Linked DNA regions of Drosophila melanogaster. The protein of the gene in region 1 purifies or fractionates together with the protein of each later gene. This does not show direct contact. Each region holds a gene or a part of one and is shown on either strand. Other genes may lie near its edges.

Evidence for each region. Proteins that work in one complex are often made in the same cells at the same time.
Region 2: the proteins of Gdi (region 1) and Rab5 purify together in Drosophila melanogaster (affinity purification with mass spectrometry; 2 studies listed by BioGRID). This does not show direct contact.
Region 3: the proteins of Gdi (region 1) and Rab35 purify together in Drosophila melanogaster (affinity purification with mass spectrometry, with the first as the bait; 2 studies listed by BioGRID). This does not show direct contact.

What each region holds. Positions count from the first base shown.
Region 1 is NT_033779.5:9,490,158-9,496,515, forward strand, and holds Gdi (GDP dissociation inhibitor), read right to left. Parts: upstream 4,720-6,358; 5' UTR 4,459-4,719; coding exon 4,065-4,458; intron 2,947-4,064; coding exon 2,471-2,946; intron 2,389-2,470; coding exon 1,927-2,388; 3' UTR 1,019-1,926; downstream 1-1,018.
Region 2 is NT_033779.5:2,358,793-2,367,230, forward strand, and holds Rab5 (Rab5), read right to left. Parts: upstream 6,482-8,438; 5' UTR 6,269-6,481; intron 6,163-6,268; exon of another isoform or gene 6,045-6,162; intron 5,930-6,044; exon of another isoform or gene 5,521-5,929; intron 4,713-5,520; exon of another isoform or gene 4,613-4,712; intron 3,990-4,612; exon of another isoform or gene 3,883-3,989; intron 3,064-3,882; exon of another isoform or gene 2,947-3,063; intron 2,794-2,946; 5' UTR 2,637-2,793; coding exon 2,368-2,636; intron 2,301-2,367; coding exon 2,180-2,300; intron 2,010-2,179; coding exon 1,841-2,009; intron 1,778-1,840; coding exon 1,677-1,777; 3' UTR 1,664-1,676; intron 1,602-1,663; 3' UTR 774-1,601; downstream 1-773. Other genes in the region: Axud1 (AXIN1 up-regulated 1), read left to right, coding at 7,529-8,438.
Region 3 is NC_004354.4:20,154,785-20,161,877, forward strand, and holds Rab35 (Rab35), read right to left. Parts: upstream 5,089-7,093; 5' UTR 4,164-5,088; coding exon 4,112-4,163; intron 3,745-4,111; exon of another isoform or gene 3,574-3,744; coding exon of another isoform or gene 3,555-3,573; intron 3,486-3,554; coding exon 3,186-3,485; intron 3,053-3,185; coding exon 2,799-3,052; 3' UTR 982-2,798; downstream 1-981. Other genes in the region: aspr (asperous), read left to right, coding at 1-30, 315-524; Phf7 (PHD finger protein 7), read right to left, coding at 6,134-7,091.

The DNA of each region.
Region 1 (6,358 bases):
TGACAGCATTAAAACTAACAGGAATGGAGAGCGGCATTCTCAGCATTTTGCACATTCCTGGGGCCATCGACAGGATGCAGGACGAAGAACGAGGACCCCAAAGTGAGCGAACTAGCCTTCGACTCGTGTGGCATGCCACATGCAATTCAATAAGAATTTCCCACTTACCACGGCCATAAGGGGTGATTTGTGCGGAGTGAGTAGGGTGAGGGGAAGGGGGCAAGTATTTCAAATGCATCCCAAACACTTGCTGCGGAATTCGTAATTGTGTCACATAAAGAGGCAACGAGGAGTCCTGGTCATAACTATAACCCTATGGCTGCGTGATTCAAATCCGGCGAAAAGCTAACAAACTCTGAAACGCCCGGACTGTCGTCGTCACTTTTGGATGGCGAGTCTGGAAAAGATTTTTATTTACAACCGAGTCTCTATACTAAGAGGTCCCCCTTCCTAACAAGACACCACACAGATACCTCCTTGATCCCACCCAGAATTAGGCCAGATCCCTTCCATTTCCTTTACAGACCAGACCATCCTAAGTCACCTCAAAGAATACGTCTAAATCCTTTCCATATTCTTCCAGGATCTGTCAAACAGCAGATTTTCATTTCTCTGTGTGTATATAGTAGCCGCCTTGGCACACACTTATGGTGCGCTTCGTCACTACGTGGACTGCAGTGCATACTGATGTAGTTTAAATCTGCCGCCATTTGGCTGTTACAAAAGCTGAAGACGTCAAAACTCAGTGCCACTTTGGCTGGAACCAGAACTAAAAATCTCAAATTAAATGAGTCTGTGTGAAAGGTGAAAAGCTCCAGGACATATAAAAAGCTGGTAGCTATAAAACTCAAGTGACATTTTGAACGGAACCGGAAACTGAAAACGTTCAATAAAATGAGTCGGTGGAAAAACTCCAGGACAAGATTCCTTAATCCGAAAAGAAACCAGACTTTTGGGGAAAGGAAAGCAAACATAACATCCCTCAATATAAAAATAGTAAATAAAAAAAAAAATGTTTATATTTTTTTAATTTTTATTAAAAATGTAAATTCTGAAAATGCGGAATACCATAGTTCTCTATACCATTGACAAACTTCTTAGGTTCTGTTCTCTTTATATGTCGTTTGCCGCGCTTCGATCAATTGCATTATTTTTGGGTATATGCTGCGATGAACTTTTTCGACTGTTTTACATTTTCAATACCATCGATTTCTTTCTGGGGATTACAATTACAATTATAATGCTGCACTATGCATGTGTAAGAGTTTGTGTCGTGTTTATAGGTATGTGTTATGCTTTCGTTTGGAGCCTTGGCAGCCACACAAATTGGGTGGATCACAAAAAAAAAAAAGAAAGAAAAACCAAGCAGAAGGGCAATATACATAGATAATATATATATACGATGTCATATTTTATATATATATATATACTTTATTATATACTCGTACAACTAAAGTCCAAGCGTAATCGTCTGACTGACTGGCCTATCGGCGAAATGGGAGAGTGTTTGTCGAGTCTAGCGCTTTTGCTCGAGTCACAAGCTGAATCTGTGGAATTTGATTTAGTTGCCTAACACTCACTTAGTTATACATTTATATAGACGTACATATATACGCGACTGCATGTTGTATAATTTATGTTATATTGGTATATATATATATATATTTTCTAGGCATATCCAATATTGCGCGAAGCAAGCAATTCGTTTCACATCTAAAACTTCATCTCTCGATGGAAAGCATTTTCGTAATACAATTTCTGGATTTTCGGTTTTCTTTAGTTTTTTTGGGCTTTTATTTTGGGTTTTCTTATCTTGGGTATTTTTTTTTTTAAGGTTTGGCCACGACGCTGAGACGATCTACGATGTTTGTGGCTGATGTTGAGCTGTCCAAATGCACCATAACCAGATGAGGCCTTCATTCCCGTTTACTGCTCCTCGTCACCCAACTCGTGCTTGATCTTGGAGAAGTCGAACGTCTCGCCAGTGCCCCGCTTGAATATGTTCAACACATCCAGGCAAGTAGTCTCAAAGTGCGTGGTCGCATCGTAAGACTCCGAAATAAAGATTTGAGACTCGGATCCATCATCGATCGGCTCCAAATAGTCCGAAATGGTTACAAACTTTTGTGCGATCGGCTCCAGCAAGTCCAAGCCAGGCTTGATCTCCACCTCCGGGTTCTCGGTCTCAACGGTGGTCGAGACCATGCCCACGAACCAACCCTTGGCGGCCACCTGATGAGTGGAGCTCACAAGCGACACATAGATGTCCGACTTGCGGCCGACCTGCTTTTGTGGAATGATAATCTGCGTGGAGAGACCATCCTTGGTGCTGGCCACCGGATGGTCCAGAATGCAAATGCAGCGAATCACCTTGCCACGCTTGCGCACCTGTCACATAAAAGAAATGTAATACATGGTTATTTCCAAAAGACTAATAGGCTAGTTTACACAAATCTTTTGTGAATCTCACCTTCTCGGGCACGTAGCTGGGATCGCAGTAGACCTGCTTGCACTTGGCGACCTCTTCGCCGGAGCGCACTCCCACCACCTTGCCGCCCTCGCCGAGGACAATCTCGTCGATGGGCTTGTCAAGCATGTAGGTGCCGCCGTAGATGGCCGACAGACGTGCGAATCCCTGGGGCAGCTCACCCAGGCCGTACATGGGATAAAGGTAGGGCGACTTGCCGTAACGCGCCAGCGAATCGGAGTAGAGCTTAATCCGCCGGATGGTGTTCACGGCCGGCTCGTTCAGATACTCATCGTCGCGGAAAAGGGCCAGGGCGTGGCCGGTGAAGTCCTGCGTGTTCTTGTCCAGTCCGAACTTGTCGTACAGACCCTGCATGTTGGCCTTGGTGGGGTCAAAGTCCTTCCAGGTCTTGGGGTCATCTTCTCGGAAATCCTGCACGTAGATGAGGAAGTTCCGGAAGCGACGCTTCTCGAACATACCTGCAAGTAAAGTCACATTTATATATGTATATCCATAATGCCATATTGGTCAGTTTGGGGTTCAGGATCTGCATATAAAGGGAGTGCACGAGCCCGAGGGTTTCAAGTTTCCCGTTTCCATTTCATTTGCATGCCACAAACACTCACATACAGACACTCACTGGGACAACAGCACGCAACTACAGTGGGAAACCTTCAATTTAGGGGGCGGAGGACACACCACCAACAATCAGAAACCACTTGGCCACCCCATGACGTCATTCCGAGCATATGTGTAATGCGGACACAGTGAAGCATGGACAAGGTGTTTAACTTTCAATTAGCAAATTGAGACATCCAATAGGTATTGTTACAAACGGAAGTAAAATCTACCTAATAGTCACATTTTCATTGAAAATTTCTATTTTATATGCAAATTATTGATAATTAAAGACAAAAATTAAAAAATGTAGTACATCTAAAGTCATGAAATGTTTTCGTTTATAGGCAATCTCCACTGTAAAGTGAAGGGGGTTCAATGCGCCTGGCCAAAAACCTGGTTGCAAAAACTAAGTAAAAATTGAAATGGAAAAATTCAAGAGCCAATCATAAATAAATAGAGCGTGTTTTAGCTAATTGCATTGCTGCCACGAAGAAGAGGGAAAAACTTAAATTTCAAACAAAGCGAAATTCAGGTGTAAAATGGAGGCGACCAATTAGCGGCAGGTGTATGAATCAGCGCAGAGCGATTAAAATTTCGACTCCAATCGGAATAGGGCGATAATAGTTGGGCCAACAAACATGGTGTGGAAATGGATATGTGTGGGGGAAACTTTGGTAGAAATTCTTTGGCGAGCGAAGAAAACAACTGTTTTTCGGCACACACATACGTGTCACATTAAAAAAAAGGGAATAACAACAACAAGAGCTTTGCCAGCGAGTGAAAAGGCAGACAAAGAAGAGAAGAGAAAGAGAGTGGTGCGGGCGAGAGAGGGGAAGCAGATAACAGTCGAGTACGAAAATACATACATACAACCACGCACACACACAAGCACAGCTGGTAATTTGCACAATTTTTCGTGGGGGGCTCACCGCCAAGCAAAAAGGCAACGGGACTTAAAAGAGCATTATTAACGAACCCATGAGATCGGATGCCAGGGCCTCCTTTTGGTCCACCGGCACCTTGGCTATCTTGCCGCCCTTGTAAACGTAGCTGCCCTCGATGGACTTGAACTCCAGATAGCGGGTGACGCCCGTGTGGATCAGCAGCTTGACCAGCTGGCCATTGGCCATCAGGAACTTGGGGATCAGGTCCACGTTCCAGTCGCGGCCACGCCCAAATCGTTCGCCGGGCGGCTCCAGTCCGTAGCGCTGGAAGAGCTCCTCCAGCGGCGTTATCGAGGCGGACTCGCCGCCGTAGTACTTGTTTCGATCAATATGCAAAACCTTCTTGCCGGACACGGACAGCATCCCGCTGAGGATGCACTCCTTGAGGCCCGTTCCTAGCACAATCGCATCGTATTCCTCATTCATATTGGATCGCACTTATTTATATATTGCAATCACAGTAATTTATATATTTTTTTTATCCGGTTTTCGCCCTTTTCACTTGCTGCGACGTTCGATTTGGTGGACTTTTCTCTGCGCTCAATAATTTTTCTCTACTCGTTCGCCTTTCGCTCGTCCGCTTTGCGCTGCCCGTTTGCCGTCACGCCGTTTGCTGGTCACGTTACGTTACGTTTTCGTACATGCCCAGGGCTGCATGAGAAAGAGTTGCTATCGGCTGCTAATTGTACATGGAAATAAGGAAATAACCAAACAAGCATATAAGATATTTAATTTGCACACAGAGCATTAATGTACGAAAGATTTAGAGACGTGTGTGCAAGATTTTTGAATTGATTATGATTTTGCAAAAGTTTATTTCCTAGATTATTGACATTTCAGGGCTGCATGTCGCGCGCGCAAATTTATAGTTGCAATTTAAATTTGTTAAATGCATGTGTTGGTCTTGCATAAAGCAAGACATTATAAAATAACAAAACGGAGGATTCACAGATCGATCATATAAAATATAAAAAGATATTCAGCAATTATTGTAAACAGTATTTGAACGCTGTTTACCTATCGAGTTTTAAGTTACTGGAGATCTCTATTTATATCATATCTCACGCATTCGTTCATTACTTTTTATTTTAAAGAGAATACAATATAAGCAATTAGACTTTTCAATGTATGTAATAATTTCAAGAAAACCAACATTTGCGTACATTTATTATCGGAGACACGATAGACATTTATTCCGAAACTAGGGGCATTCTTCTTACAGCTGTTAGCACAGTTAGCGAGTCTGGCCACATCATCCCGAAGCCTCTGCAAAGTTTTACTGGTGATTTTGGTTGAAACGACGAGCCGATTCGGACGCGATTTTTGTATCGGGTTTATTTAGGTTGTTACGTTCTCTTCGCGTCGTTTCTTGTTTCTTTGTTTCGTCGGATTTTCGCGCGTGCAGCGAGCAAGGAAAACTAATCATACATAATCATACATTTTCGTGGAGCAAAAACACACGGCAATGTAAATGTTTGATTATATTTTCATTTAAAACGGAGCCAAACAACTGTGTACTTGTGTGAGTGTGTGTGCGTGCGGTGGCTGCGTGCTTGTGTGGAAAAGTGAAAATGCTATTTGGGCCATAATTGTATTGAAATTCTTAGCAACAACAACAAACCAAACCTCGAGTTCGTGGCAAAAAATAAGTTCGAAAAAAAAGACGAAAACCCCAACAAAAGGAAGTGAAAAAGTGAGCGGCTCAGGGATTTTTTATGCTGTGCTCCAAGTGAAATAAAGTCTTTGGGAAATAATTATTTATTGTAATTCCTTCGCTGAGGAAACATACAAAATAGAAAACAAAAAGATAATCTCCTGTCCCGCTCACACTTTCCGCCTGACCTCGGTTATCATATGTTACCTCCCTGTTGTTCTTGTTGTTGCTTTGAATGTGCTGCAACATTTTTGTATTGTTGCCATGCTGAAAAGTTGTTTTCATCCCCGTGTAAAAATAGTTTCAAACAAAAAATATAAAACAAAACCCCCACGAAGGCAAGGATAAAATAACCGCAGGCAATTGAATTGATCGAAAAACAAGCATAAATCCACGTCTACGATTTTATTGGGTAAGTTTTTCGTTTAAATCAAGTTGCCATATTAAAAATTGCACAGGCATAAAGTCGGAGGGAAAAAACATAATAAAGCACAGACGGCGGCAATCTACAGAAAAAACAAGTTGGTTGCCAAGAACCAGTTAGGCGTTGCAGACCAACTGCCCCGCCCACCGCCCTCGGCCCCCATCCTCCCAAAATATACGACGGGTTTTTTACCTGCTCGCATCCATCTCGCTCACTCATTCACACAGCCTCCGATCGTTCTGGCTTCT
Region 2 (8,438 bases), 7.1 Mb from region 1:
CAAACAAAAATATATATACAACAATTATACAATACGAAACCAAATGGAAATTGTAACCAAAACTGTAAGTTAAGTATGTATTTATTTCGAGAGACATCTTAATCAGTTATAATTTCAAATAAAAAAATGGGAATTAGAAAAGTTAATAAACTAAAATCTGCCTTATGTTTTCATGGGAGTCTTGGGAAGTGGTGATGCAACATATTTTCCAATGTCTTTCCGCCGCAAAGGAACTTCTCTGCTAAAAAAAAGTTAAATTACCTTTTTTATAAAGCCATGAGCTAATATTTTGAAAACCCATAATACAAAAGCGATTGTGAGCTCATTGTCGATTCAAATCGAATGACCATATATGTATATACGCAGTCATATATATATATATATAAGTATATACGATGTTTTCATTTATTATAATTTATAAATTTTAAATTTAAATACATACAGACAACATAAAAATTACGAATTGGAAAGAAATATGCATCGGATCTTTGATGTTTGTGGAACGATTTAAACAAGTTGTTTACGGTATTGTGTTGTTCGATTTGTTTTATTTATTTATTTTAATTCACTTTACTTCCTCTCCGCTTAATTGCATACTAGATGTAAGTTTAATTTTTATGGATTACGATAGTATCTCCGTTCTCGTTTACGTTTAAAGATAGTAGCATTAAATCTTCGATTGTTGCTAGAATGTGGAAAATAGTTCAACGCAAGGCGAAATTGAAAAATAAAAAAATCTAAAAGTATGCATAATTGGTTTTCTTTTTTTTTTTGTGGTTTTCGTTTTCCTTCATTTTCATATGTGTATATATAATTTATATAAATTGCAACTATCACACGTGTCCGCCGCGACCCGGAGTCGAATCATCCGCGTCCGTATCCGGATCTGGAGTCCGAGCTCCGGAGCCGTAGAGACACACACATTGCCACAAACCGAGGCGAGCGAGGATCTTCAGCCGCTGGCCTGAACATTTGCTCCTTGTGGTGTTTGTTTGTTTTGTTTGTTTTATTTGGAACGCTGCTGAGAACAACTGCAACTGGAATCTGCCCCTTACTTAATGCTCAGAATCTTACACGACATGTAATCTTTACAAATATTCTTTGCTCGCTTAGTTGGTTTCGGGGTTTCTCTCTTTTTTTTATACAATACGATTTCAAACTTTCTACGACACGATGAAATCTCCAAAAACCCTGCGCTTTCTTCTCATGTTTAGTTTTCATTATTAATTTGCGTTGTTATTTGAAATGGTTTATGTTGGAATTATACTGATATTTTAGCTCAATTGCGTGAGTGTCAGTTTGCTTGTATATTTTTTGGACAGATATCGAGCGTAATGGGGGAAATCGGGTGTGGGAATTTGTAACTAACTTTCTTTAATTGCAACTTTCGTTTATGTTGGGAATGGGAGCTCCTTTGTTTAATGCTTATAATTCTTATGTGGTCTTTATCATTATTGGTTTCGTGGCTCTCAAATGAAATTCGTCCCCTGCGAGAGCCGGCTTTAGGTATTTCTTTCTGATTCTGTTGAATTTTTAAATAATTTTTTTATTTATAATTATCAGCATAAACTTTTCAAATCTCTCGTTGGAAATTTCATTTTCTGTAAAGCCAAAAAAAAACTGTGTTAGTAATGCAACCGTATTTCCAACGCAATTAACTTACCTACGAAGGGACATCACTTGCAGCAGTTGTTCGTCGGTCGATTTGTTTCGGTTCCAGTCGGCCTTATGCTGGTTCCCTGATTGTTGGCGCCATCGTTCTTAGGTAGTTTCTTGGCTGTGGTTGGGGTAGTGATTAGCAAAGTTTTCGAAGCGTTTACGACGGCTCCTTATAGCTTACCAATGGCCAAGAAGATGTCGTTCACATTCATGCCCGTCTTGGCGGAGGTTTCCATGAACAGCAGCCCGTTCTCCTCGGCATATTGCTTCGCTTCATCGAACTCTACGACGCGAATGTTTGACAAATCTGCCTTGTTGCCGGCCAGCGCAATGACAATGTTTGGTGAGGCCTGGAAAAAAGTTTTATTAATACATATTTTATGTAATATAATTTACGTATCAAGTGAACGAATTTCTCGAGTTAAGAATATTGAACTGAGGCACTTCATGAGCAATAATATAAATGATTATAATATTAAAACACTCTGCACGATATTCAAGTTTCCCCGCTGACACTCACTTGTTTATGCAGTTCCTTGACCCAGGTCTTCGCACGCTGAAAACTGTCCTGATTCTGTATATCATAGACGACAATAGCGGCCTGCGCTCCTCGATAATACATGGGAGCTAAGCTGTGGTACCTACAAAAGCGAATATAAGTATGTCAGATGAAGCTTTCAGTTGGGTGATCTATCCAGCGATACTTACCGCTCCTGGCCAGCCGTGTCCCAGATCTCGAACTTAACGACAGTGTCCTCTATGCAAATAGTCTGTGTCAGAAAGGCCGCACCTATCGTGCTCTCCTGGTACTCGTGGAACTGTCCCTTGACGAAGCGCAGCACCAGTGAGGACTTGCCCACAGCGGACTCGCCGAGGAGCACCAACTTGAATTGGCAGCTTTTGTTCTGCGAGGTGCCATTGGGCCGCTGCGCCGTTCCAGTGCCGCTGGCACCGCCGCTGCGTGGAGTGGTTGCCATGATCGGTTCGGGTTGGATCGGATGCGAATGTGGATGCGCTCTTCCTCCTCTGAGATGGCAACTGATATTTGGTTCTACGGACGGTTACTGCAACTCACTCCCTCTTCTGCTGAGTAAGTCTTTCTGCTAAGATTGCTGCTGAGTGTGGATGCGGAATCTGCAAAATACAAATAATGTACATATTTATAATGGAGACGGATAAAAACGAAATTGAGTGCTTCCAATTCTTCTGCCATAATGGTACGTTTTTAGGGCTTAAACTCAGTCCCCTTGAAAACATGCTGCCCATGTGGATGAATATAAAACCCACATAAAACCATCAGATGATTGTGTGGCGCCTTTGTTTGTTTAATGACGCCGTCGACAAGCCCAGTTCAATATGTACATATCCGAGAATATGCACAAAAAGCCGACGTTTTCCATCAGTAAATGAAACAGAGGAAAAGGGAAGCGTCTGCCAATGGTCACTGATAAATTCAATTGAAATTGAAAGCAGTACGCCCTACAAAAACTCACATTAGAGCTTATATTAGTTTATTTATATTTATATTTATAAGTGTTACACATCCGAAAACATATCATTACTATTTGTGTCACTTGGCAACATAATAGTACTGATAAGCTTGTGATAGGAAAATCAGTGAAAGCAATTGTTCCACGATTAGATGTTCAATGTTATGAGTTGTGTTTAGAAAATTCCTTGCGTGACTGCTTCAAACATCCACAAACACAAACATTCTTAATTACATGTGCAAATACAAATCCATCAACAACTAAAAATACTTTGGCAAACACAAAGGGGAAACCTTATATGCGCTTTCTAGGCGCAATTATTGTTTTTCCCTTTCTTCGTGGCAGATAAGGGGTTTACAAGTAATCGAAACTACAACATTCTTATCGGTCCCTTGTGCGGGAAATCTAAGTTATCGTAAAAGATATTTATTGCAGCTCCTCTAGGGGCTACCGCGCAATTGATAATTCACACACTTTCTGGTGGAAAATATTTCGAGGGCGGGTGAATTTGTGTACATATGTGTATAATAGTACATAACACAGAGGACGCCTCGCATTATTCAGCGGTAATGCGTGTGGCATTCACAGTATTTTTGTTATCAGTGCCACTTTTATGAATCATACGCCCCATTGGCCACTACACTTTTACCGATGTCCCACAGATACGTTGATCCCGAAACAAGATATCGTTTTAAACAGAGAGTAATCATTAAAATTGTTTAAAAATATTTACTGTTGCATATATTAACTAAGCTAAAGTCGTTTTCAAATCTTCACAAAGTATCGTTCACATGCTTTTCGTTTTTATGACCGACGACGGGAATCTCAGAATTCCGACAGAAATTAATTAACACATTGAAGCCAGACTGTACAGTGGAGATAAATCTACGAAGATCGGGGTATGGAATTCTACACGAGTCTTGTTTACTTTGTGGAGAGAAGTGAGCGCAGAGCGAAGAGAATTCACAGAGTGAGGGCGGAAGCTGTGATAAAAATCAATGCAAAATAAATTAACGGGGAGACGTGGAGAAAGTAAAAGCGTGACAAACATGTACGCTGTGCGGCGTTATTAAATTAACAAGGAATGAGGGAGAGAGCGAAATATGCAGGCCCTCTCTTTGCCATTAAAAATGCAGTCAGTCAACAATTGTTTGTTTCTCCCCCTCCCTTCCGATCATTCAATTGTTTTTTTCCCGGAGACTTTGGAGCCAAGTGCACAGTCACACACACATACAGAAGCCGACAACTTGGTCTCTCTTTTCGAAAACCGCACTCTCATTGCGATAAAGAAATTTCGCCTACAATTACTTTTCATTATCCAGCGAATGACGTATTTTGCTGTTTTTTGCGTCTAAGCCAAAACGAAAACTGCACTTTAAATTTAATTAAAACAAGCAGTGTGTCTCACTAAGCCAATGCAAAATTTTCCTTGAGAAGCGGACAGCTGTCAGTAAATAACTCACCGCTAATTTTAATTCGAACCGTAATTAATGCGGTTTATTAAACTTTAAAGTCACTTGGACAACAGGAGTGACTTTCGCGCCCGTCTGCGGAAAATTCAATAAAATATAAAACAACGTTCAGGAAATTACGGTTCTTTTAGAACAGCTGACGATGCGTCATTCACGCGACTAATACAAATGCAAGTGAATCAAAAAAGAGAATGAGAGCGAGAACAACAACCATACGTAGCCACAGCCTTTATCAATCAAATAGCTGTAATACGTGGAATTAAGTTACAAATCTTATGTTAGATTTTAAAGATATTTAATATAAATATGAAATAAAGAAGAACGTCCACATAGCTTGTGCTTAATTTTAAGCATGAATTAAGTTTTAAATCCACCTTTGGAAACTTAAAACATTTTCATTATATCAACATGGCCCTATTCACGTGAGCTTGACTGTGGAATTGCCTCACTCGAAAAGTCAACAAGTGCAATTTTCTCAGCACGCATATTTGAAGCACGTCTAGAAAACGGAGAATACAATTAGCGTTATATTTACTGTCACACCACACATCACTCCGTAAATATGTATAGCTTGACAAATGCGGGTCTTCCATTTGCAAAGCGAGCGAAAAGGTCTAGAATAAACAAATAGAAGGATGCGTTTTTGTTTACATTTGGGCTTTATAGAAACATCAGAGACAAAGACAGTTCTTTGAGAAACTTGCACGATAAGGGAACGGATTGCCGATAAATACACACACACCACACACCCACACTCTCTCTCATAACTAAAGACGCAAAACAGGCGGAACAAAGAACCGCGATTTTTGATCCGTTTTGGCGTGTAAAGCGCTGATAAATTGGGTGATAATGCGGGCCAAGATCCGATTTTGCCAGCTTTACTCCATACCAGAGTGCACCTGCAGTGTTCTTTATCTCTTCACAATTAGATTCGTGAACTATCTTAGGCCTTGCGACCCACTGTGCACGCTGCACTTGGAGCAGGTCGTACGGCCGTCTCGCTCTAGCGCCCACTCTCATGGGCAACGCACCCAAAATTCAGGGCCATCTATCGCGCTCGCTCTTACACTCGCACTATGGCGGACGGGGCGAAAAAATTTTACACAACTTTCTTAATTAATTACGAGGGGTGAGCGAAAACAACAACGCAAAAGCACTCGACTTTCCGCCGAATTACGCACTCTTCTAAACGCGGCACTTGGAGACCAGTTGACCATTTGCATTTACGTTTTTTCCTTTCAATTGTGTGCCCCAAAACAGCCCCAAGAAACGAAACGAAACGAGCGCAGAGGGAGATAGATAGCGACTGACTCGCCTCTCGCAAAATTATCGTCGCGTCGCAGGTCGTGTTTTTGTCGATTAACTTCCTGGGCGACGTCACCATTGATTTGCCAAAGATTTTTGTCTTTTTTAGCTTCCTTGCCTTGCTAATGGCTAGCGAAATTATCGCCTGGTTTATTAGTAAACTTAACTTACAACTTTCTTGGAATTTTATGTGTGACCGCAGGACGACTGTTGGAATATGCCAAACATATCCTAAGCTCTGCTCGTTAGCAGAGGCTCCAACCAACGATACATATTTCTATCGATTAGTGGGACCAACATATTACACAATATAAATAAAATTTTAATATAAACATTTCTTACCGTGAATATACAAAACATATTTCTTTGCTGCACGAGTCAACTAATGAATCGTAAAACGGGTATATTTTACATAATAATTGTCTTACTATGAATTTATGTAATCAATGAGCTTGCAGGAACCGGCTCCATTGGTGAATTTGTTTTAATTTTTCTTCTGAATTATTTCTTAGCAAATACACGCACCATCTACTAGTGAGTCACATTTATCTATCACGCTCTATCGTATACACTTTTATCAATTTTTGCCTGGTATTTTTAAGTACATTTGGATCGGTGCAGGACTGTTGTCATGTTGCAGGGGTCCAGCGACGGGCACACTGAATAGAAGAAGTAATAACATTGCGAGAAAAGAAGAAGTGAAAAATTAAGAAAAAGTTTACGGAAGTGCGAAATGAGTTTTAAAAAATAAATCATAATTTTGGGCGTTGCCAGGCGCATAGTAAAGTGATTGTGTTAATAAAAGAATACCGACCTTTGTGTCCTGATTCGCCTCCTTCACGCACACACTCGCACAGACTTGCACAAACACACGCACACAGTTGCGTCTTTCGTCATCTCTCTCGCTCTCAGTTTTTTATCGCAGCTGCAACGCAAATTGCAAAAAGGATAAATCCCACCGATCTTGCGAGTCCGGCCGTTGGCTTGGCTGCGAAAATATAAGCGCAAAGGTGGGCCCCCAAAAAAAGAAGCTAATCAATATTGATTTTGGTTAGCGGTATGTCTACTTTTCGGGTGGTCTCCTTTCTAGCGTGCGAAATTCTCGGGGATCCAGGATTTCAAAGGATTCTGCACACGCACACCCATCCAAGCACAGTGCTCATTCGAAAAAGCGAACATACAAGTGAGCGGAACATTAAAGCGAAAGATATATATTTTTAAACCATTACACGTACACAGAAAACAATTGATTTCTTGCGAGCAGTAAAATTAATACTTGAGCTAAATTAATATTTCTAAATATTTACACAAGTTGTAAAAGGTACACTCATTAGGCTTTTGGCAATTTGTTTGTTGGATCTAGGACCTGGTCAGGGGCTCTTACGAAACGTAAACAGGTGTAATTAATTTACTCAGAAATAAAGTTTCGCATTCCCGGCAGTTCTCCCTCTCGAATGGACACTGTACATACACACCTGATCTATACGTTTTCGCTACCTGCGAAGGAAATTTCCAAGCAACATTATGTAAAACCATTTCCTCCTACTTTCTTGCAGATGACCAAAGGACACTCAATGATCTAGGGACCTCGACACGGATAGCATGTTTAGTCCTATAAAAAAAATATTTACGTACATACAAAAAAATGCGAGCGGCTCCAATATGTTTAGCCCATCAGGAAACAAGGCCGCCGGCCAAAGGGAGGGGACCACCAGCCTAACTGCCCACGACGAAGGCGAAAGGAAGGATCAGCGGCATCTGGATCACAAGGATAATCAGAGCGAACCGGAGGAGCGGCAGCATCAGCTGCAAATATTTCCCCACCTGGACGATGACGACGACGACATCGAGAGGCAGATCAAAACCTCCATAATTGACGCCAGCAAGGTGCACGCAGCGAAAGCCAAGGCGTTGGCTTCCCTACCCATGCCGCTTGAGCAGCTCGATGATGAACTGGCGGACTTTGCTCACGGCCCGGCGGACACCGAACTAGAGGAGCAGTTCCTTGAGCTGGAGAACTATCCTAATAATGAGATAATCGTACTAGGCGATGCGGATCTTAACTCTTCAATAGCTTCCGACGCAGTCTCCGAGGACCCACTGGCAATTGACAACATTCTTGACTCCGCGTCGGTCACCACAAACGAGGAGGTCGACACCAGTGGAGAACTTCTTTGGCTGAAGTTGAACAATGAGACGGAAATGGCCACCAGATCAGCGGAGGTGGTGTCCAACAACCAAGCATCATTGGAGCCTGCCCAGCCAGCCAAACCGAAAGAGGATGAGCTTAGAGATGGTGGGTCTGATTCTGGTTTAGGAAGTGAAACCTCCGCGTTACTCAAGGATCAGGCGGAGAAAGAAGCCGAGCCGGAAATCCAGAAAAAGGTGGAAACGAAGCCCATAAGGTCCAACCTTAAACGGAGACTCGAAGATTCGGAAAGCGATGCTATAGATCTGGTGCCCGACATGTCTGCCCCTCCAGTAGCCCCCCAGAAGCGGACTAAGCGCTCCA
Region 3 (7,093 bases), on another chromosome or scaffold:
ACCGGCAATCCGCTGAGCCACTGCACCCGGGTGAGTCACTGTCCAAATCATAGGCAATCATACAGATTGGGCAACAACGGTGTTATCTACGATGATCCGGTGATCCCAATCATAGAGTTCTTCCTACTGTTTCTACTTTTTAATTATACCAAAAAAGAGTTGACAAACTAGTGACGAACGCTCTCTTAAGCGGAAACGGCAAATATGTCGAAATTTTGTCTGTATTTCGATTTTAAATAGAGTTCTTCTTCTTCTTCATTCTCCATTATAATGGGGCATAACTACTGTACTAACCCACTTACCCTCGTCCACAGGGTGAGTGCCTGAGCAACAACGAGTGCCCCGACCATCGCGCCTGCATCAACTACCAGTGCATCGATCCCTGCATCGGCAAGTGTGCCACTGGAGCCAGCTGCGAGCCCAAGGCCCACCTGGCTGTCTGCCGCTGTCCACAGGGACAGTCGGGCGACGCCCTGGTGTCCTGTCGCCAGACGCGCACCTTTCCCGTGGCCAAGTACCACTGAGGCGGGATGGGGAGTCGTATAGTCCCGGAGCCGCACTGCCTGCCAAACCAGTCACCATCCGCCCAGCCAATCCCCATCCCAATCCGCACCAATCCGCATCTGCCCACTTCCCGTACTAGTCGTTGCCCTAACCTCGTGCTCTCCCCAACAGAAGCGATAAAAAATGCGTTGAAAAACAATAAATAATACAAGTAAATAATAATCATAAACAATGTGCTATTTTTCTGGGATCCGTAAAGTCACAAACAACTGAATACATCATAAAAAAGTTAAACAAATTGTTTTCAAATACTGCAGAAGGGAAAAAATTCCATTTTAAAGATATAAAGATTATATTACTGATTGTCTTAGTACCGAAATCCAACCCAAAATCTTAACGGCTAAATGCAAAAGACCAAACATTTTAGAAAATCAAATTGCCTTCTTTATTTTGATCGATAAATATATACATCTATATATATAGATATATATATACATTTATATAAATATATAGTTTTCTTTTGGTTGGTATGAAATATAGGTTTCATATTCGAGAATAGTATTTAACTATGAGTTTGCCTCACTTTCTGAAAGCTTTTTTCAGCCCAAACCACAACTAGGTAATTCATTTTGGTATTCAAACGCAATAACATAGTCTTTGAATTTTGGGTATAGCTCAAGGTTTACATATAAATAAATATATACTGGAACCGAAATCGATTATTGTGGTATTTAAAATAAATCTATGAATCGAATGGTTTTTTAAGCAGAATAAATATGGTTACCACAAAGCGAACCCATATGTACATTGTGAACATATAAATATAAATTCTAGTGCGCTTCGTTACTACGTTATTCACTCGTTTCATAGAGTCGCCGAAGAGTATGCAACTACTTTTAGAAGCTAACAAAAATTGTAAAATCGGGAAAGTTTACCAAAAATAACGAACGTGCTTGCAGTGCGATTTGGTGCGTTTTTAACTTAGATACAATACAAATGTAGCGATGTATTAAATGCATTTGTGGCATAAAAGAATGCCACAAAATGTTGATTGCCAATCATATCTTATTTAATTTTAAATCAGCAATGCCTAAGGACTTAAATGAAAAGTGGCTACATTTTGGACATATTCAACATAGCTATGGATTAAAAACATGGTTTTGAATTACAGTCCGAGCGCAAGTAATCGTGTTTTTCCAAAGATCAATCTTTATTCTTTCTGAGGGTACATATGTAATGTATGTATATAATATCAGAGAATTGGAGTATTGGTTCCCCGGTTTTCGAATAGATACAAACATTACCTACAACTATTTCTCTTCAGAAAATTTGCATTGGAAATCATATTGGCTGACAGTTTCAGGTTTTTCATTTTAAGCAAGCACATCCAAAAGAATTGGAAACAGTCCCTGAAGTTCTTTAGTTTATCCAGTTAAATCAATCACGGAATGGCGGCAATAATATCAAATGAAATCTTAACAAGTAAGGCAGTTTCCGAGAGCAACGAAATGTTTAAAAGCATCACTCCAAGCAAATAAAATTTCAGATTCATTCAAAACGTGTCTTTCGCGATTGATAGTCGGCAGATCAGAGCTTTCGTTTTTAAATTTTAAACTATGGGAGTATTAAAAGTGGAGAGTCGCGATCGGAAGCCAATAATTTGATCTCCCCACATATGTATATCTATGTATATATATTTATATATTTCTATAAATGTGTTTCGTAGCTTAGCTAGCGAGCGAGGCGTTTGCGTCCTCGTGCCTTTTCCTGCGGTCGCTCTTGTTATTGTAAATACAATTTTCCGTTTGAAATATAAATATATTCTTGTATATAAATATGCAATTTGTTTCAATTTTGTTTATGTATGTATATATTAATATGTATATAAATTGCTAAATACATTTAATTGCGCTTTACACTTTTACACTTTAATTTACGGCTATCTGGCATTATTCCGAATAAAACTGAGGAGGAAAAAAAAAAACAAAACAAAAAAAATTGTTGTCTCTAGTGGGTGTGAGTGTTGTTCAGTTGTCTCGTGTTGTTTGCTTTGTGTGGTTTCTTGTTGTTGGTTGTTTGGTGGTGTTAGCTATGTCTATGTGAGTGAGTGTCTGTGTCGAATCGTAAGCCAAGAACCCTACAAACTACGCGCCCCCACAACGATTCCGTCCGCCCCCGAAGTTGATCCAGGTCCTGGTCCTAATTTCAGTTCCAATTCCCGTCCCGCCGCCGCCGCCGCCGCCGCCGTCGCCGTCGGTCCAGTTGCAATGCCAGCTCCCGTGCCGGAGCCGCTTTCACCTGCAGCACTTCCCACCCTTGCTGCCCTTGGGATTGGGCTTCAGATGGAGCGTGTCCTTCTGCTGCTCGTTGGGGGAGGTGCGCAGCTTGTGATCGAGCACCTGTCGCGTAATCGACAAGAACATGTTCTCCACGTTTATGTTGTCTTTGGCAGATGTCTCGAATAGCTCGATGTCCATTTGTTTCGCAAACCGCTGCGCGTCTTCGGTAATGACCACCTTCCTGTCCGGATCGTCGTTCTTGTTGCCCACTGTTGAGGAATCGAAACATGAGTCTATATCGATAATGTAAGTTGTCTACTAATTAAGCTCCGCTTGGCATAGCCAACAACTACTTCTCAGTACGGGTCAACCAATTCTGTGCGTAATACGATATAGGCTCACCTAATACTTTTTTAACCACATCGCAGTTATTCTGGATCTCCTCCAGCCAGCGGCGGACGTTCGCAAAGGATTCGCCGTTCGTGACGTCGTAGACGACAATGACGCCGTGGGTGCCGCGGTAGTAGGTGCTGGTGATTGTCCGGAAGCGCTCCTGCCCGGCCGTGTCCCAGATCTGCAGCTTTACGCGCATGCCCTCGATGTCCACGGTGCGGATCTTAAAGTCCACGCCGATGGTGGTGATGTAACTGCCTGAGAATGTGTCGTCCGAGAACCGGATGAGCAGCGACGACTTGCCCACGCCTGCAGGGGATCAGATGGAAAGATGGAATGGGATTCGTATTACAAAAATGTGATATCGTTACTACACACAAGTAAGCCCATTCGGCATATGACATTGCTGTGGAGCGGGGAGTGTTCTCCTGCTCCGGTTACCGCCGCAGCTGGTCTGCTCGCATATCAAGCTGTATATCCTGCCAGTGCGTCACCATTAGTCATGAGCCTGGTTTTGCCCGAGCCAGACCACCTTTCTCGAAATACGCCCAAATGAATATGTAGATAGCTACGTTAGGAGGAGGACAGGACTGATATAAAGTGCTTTTGCATTTATGATTAAATATATAAAATTAGTACAACCTAACACATGTTGAGTATGCCAAAAACATTGAGTATAGAAACAAGAAGCTGACGAATGTTGAAAGTATTATGGAAACTGAAAACAACATTACTCATACGCCATGTTGGCGTTAGCATTTTAAATGTAACATACATTAATGGTAATCAGATGCAGTAATGCGAAAGGGAGGTGGAGACAACTGCGTTTTTGGCCAGGAAACGGGGACAAATTGCAATTTACACCTGCTATTTTCAACTCGATGCTATTTTTAAGCACCTGGTCTGTGGGAAACGGGAATGCCTGGGAAACTCACCGCTATCGCCGATTATTAGCAACTTGAATAGATGATCGAAGCCGCGTGCCATTTTTCGACGTTTTTTCGCTGTTTTTCTGTGTTTTTCCTTGTTTTTGCAAGTGCTTTTATATTTACAGTTAGGCGCGTCGAACAATGCAAAATATACTTTTGTTTTCTTTTTTTCTGCTGCCTGCTCCCACACTCACACACACAGGAGCACACTCCCTGCGCTTACTCTCTCTCTCTCTCTCTTTCGCACTCTCTCGGAAGCGCCCTCTCTTTCGCCCCAAGCTACGACCCTCTCGCTCGCACTGGTGCAGCCGGCTGAATATCTGAGATAAGCTGTTGTTCTTTCTGGCTGCTGGTCTGTTGTTGTTGTTGTTTTTGCTGCTGTTGCTGATGTTTTTGTTGCTGTGTGATAAGCTATAGTTATTAGTGTTGTTGCGTTGCGAGTTAATTTATGTAAGTGTTGTTGCCGCCGCCTTGTTATTTAATTTCCTTTGATTAGGTAGGTGTGTTTCTCTTTTTTTGGCTCCACTGGTACAATTGTTGCTTTTGCTTTAACAGCGGATTTGCGAAGAGAAATCGAGCGGCAGGCTCATTTCCATCAGATCCAATGGCTTGCTGGCGGATAAGACGGCGATTTGGTGCCGAAAATATTTCAATATAGGCTGGCAAATTTTCGCAAAGCTCGACTCCCTCGCAATCGTGCGTCTCGCTCTCTCCAACACTGTAGCACAGACACAACACACGAACACATACGCACGCACGCACACACACACAGGAGTGAAGCTCTGGCTGACTGTTGAATTTATATTGGGCTTCTCGGCGGTCTCGAACTTTCCAGCTTCCGGGTTGCTCTTGCAGCGCTGAAAGGACGACGATTTGTGGGAATTTGTGGGCGTCGGCGTTGCGGATTAATTCTGGTTAATTCATATTCTGGATAAACTATTGCTAACGCACCCACACTAGAGACGGAACCAAATGCGATGTTTATGCTATCGATAGTTTAGGATAGATAGTACCCCACAAACATCGATTCATTTAGCCGGAGCATAAAGTCGAATTTTTCTGTAACTAAATATGCAATGTGCCCACTCAAAAAATTAAATTAGTTTAATAAATTAATACTGGCAATTTTTTTTAATATCAATATGTATCGATATATTTAGAGAACATTATCGCAAGTGTTGCCGTTTAGCGGGTTGCTAACGTTGCCACCTGTGCATAAACTTTTGGCCATATCCAGCACTTATTTATTATGAATGGCGCGATTTTTAAAAAATCTTCAAATAATCACTTATAAAGCCCATATTATATTAATACCAAAAAAAAAACTAAATATTATATACTTTCATACCGATTTGTAGCGGGTATTAACTAGAAGCAAAACGCTATACTCTTAATGAAAGTGAGTATTCGTAGTTTACAACTTTTGAGAAGTTTTTTCAACATCCAAATAAAATCATTCTAACTTATTTTTCAAATATTTTAATTTTATTTATTTCATTTTAGCGTTCAGATACTGGGATTCTTGATACAGATACTGGATTCAGGGATTCTTAGATCGCTAGTCAAAAAAATGTAATGCTTAGAGTAATTGAAATAATGTAGGCACTGCGAGCTGCTGAAAAGAAAGTCAGATGGGGAAAATAATGTCTACAGCTACTTAAAGTAAATATGTATACAAGTTATTTATACGTGTGGAAAGGAGCACTTACTTAGCTTACTTAACAAAGCAAATAAATGGTAAATGCATCTTATTAGCGAATACCGCTAGGAGAACAGGATTTTAATGGAATTTTATATGTACAAAAGGCGGAAAATAGAGAATAACGGGTGCGAACCAAACGCACGCATTTGGTCCACAACCTAGTCGATGTGATGGTTAATGGAATGTGCAAGTGTTATGTATCGTGATGTTGTCATCTGTTCTCCTAGTCCCTGCGGGTATCCTGCCCACTCAGGATATATCCATATTGATCTTGCCGTGTACATGGATTTGTGCGAGTGTGATCTATTGTAATGTCATCTGTTCTCCTAATCCTTGCGGCTGGCCATGTGGTTGGACAAGCGGTGGCGGGTCCTATTGGCCACACAGGATATATCCATGTTGGCGAGTGAGGAAGGCCTGTTGGCCAAAGTGCGGCGACGTAAGACACGTGGAGCAGGAGTGCTCGGCTCCGGCGAGATGGAGCCCAACAGACGCCTGCCATTCGACGGCGCAGCGGCAGTGGGCGTAAGTTGGCGCCTCTTCGACTCATATTCATCACTATCATATTCATCACTATCGTCATCGCTATCCGACACGTGTCTAGGCGGCGAGACGTATCTAGGGCGCCAGGGACGACGTCCATTCGATGTGGACGGCTCAGTGTTTTCTTGGTTATCAAGTGTCGATGCGGATGTGGATGTGGATGTGGATGTGGATGATGTCGCAGTTGCAGTAGCAGAGCGAAACGAGGTTACTACACTTGAGAGAAATGTTGTTTGCGTTCCCTGTGATTCAAATGTGCGAGTTCCACGATCGGCTAAAGCGCGTGCCCCCGCAGAAGTAGATGGTTGATCATCGGAGAGGGTCACCACGCGACTCTGCACTTTGGTATCGAACGCACGCTGAAAGACGGCATCATCGTCGGAGGAGCCGAAATCATCCCAATGGGAGGGTGATAGCTTCTCTTGAATCTGATCACCATTTAGGTGACCTGGACGTGGGGCTTCGGCCGAGTCGTCCATTGAGCCGGCGTCATCCGAGTCCGATTCGGCAACGGGCACTGCCTCCGGGCTGACGGCTGAGCAAACCTTGCAGACGTAGTTTTGGAGAGTCTTCAACGTGCAAAGGTAATGTGACGGATTGGCGCCACATGAGGTGCAGTACAGCAGCATGGCGGAAGTGTCGGCGCGACCAGAGACCGCAACGCACAACGCGGCCGTACAATTGACATCGCGGCGGTACTGCCCAGCAAAGGCGTCCGGCTCGGTCTCCCAGGAAGCGTCTCT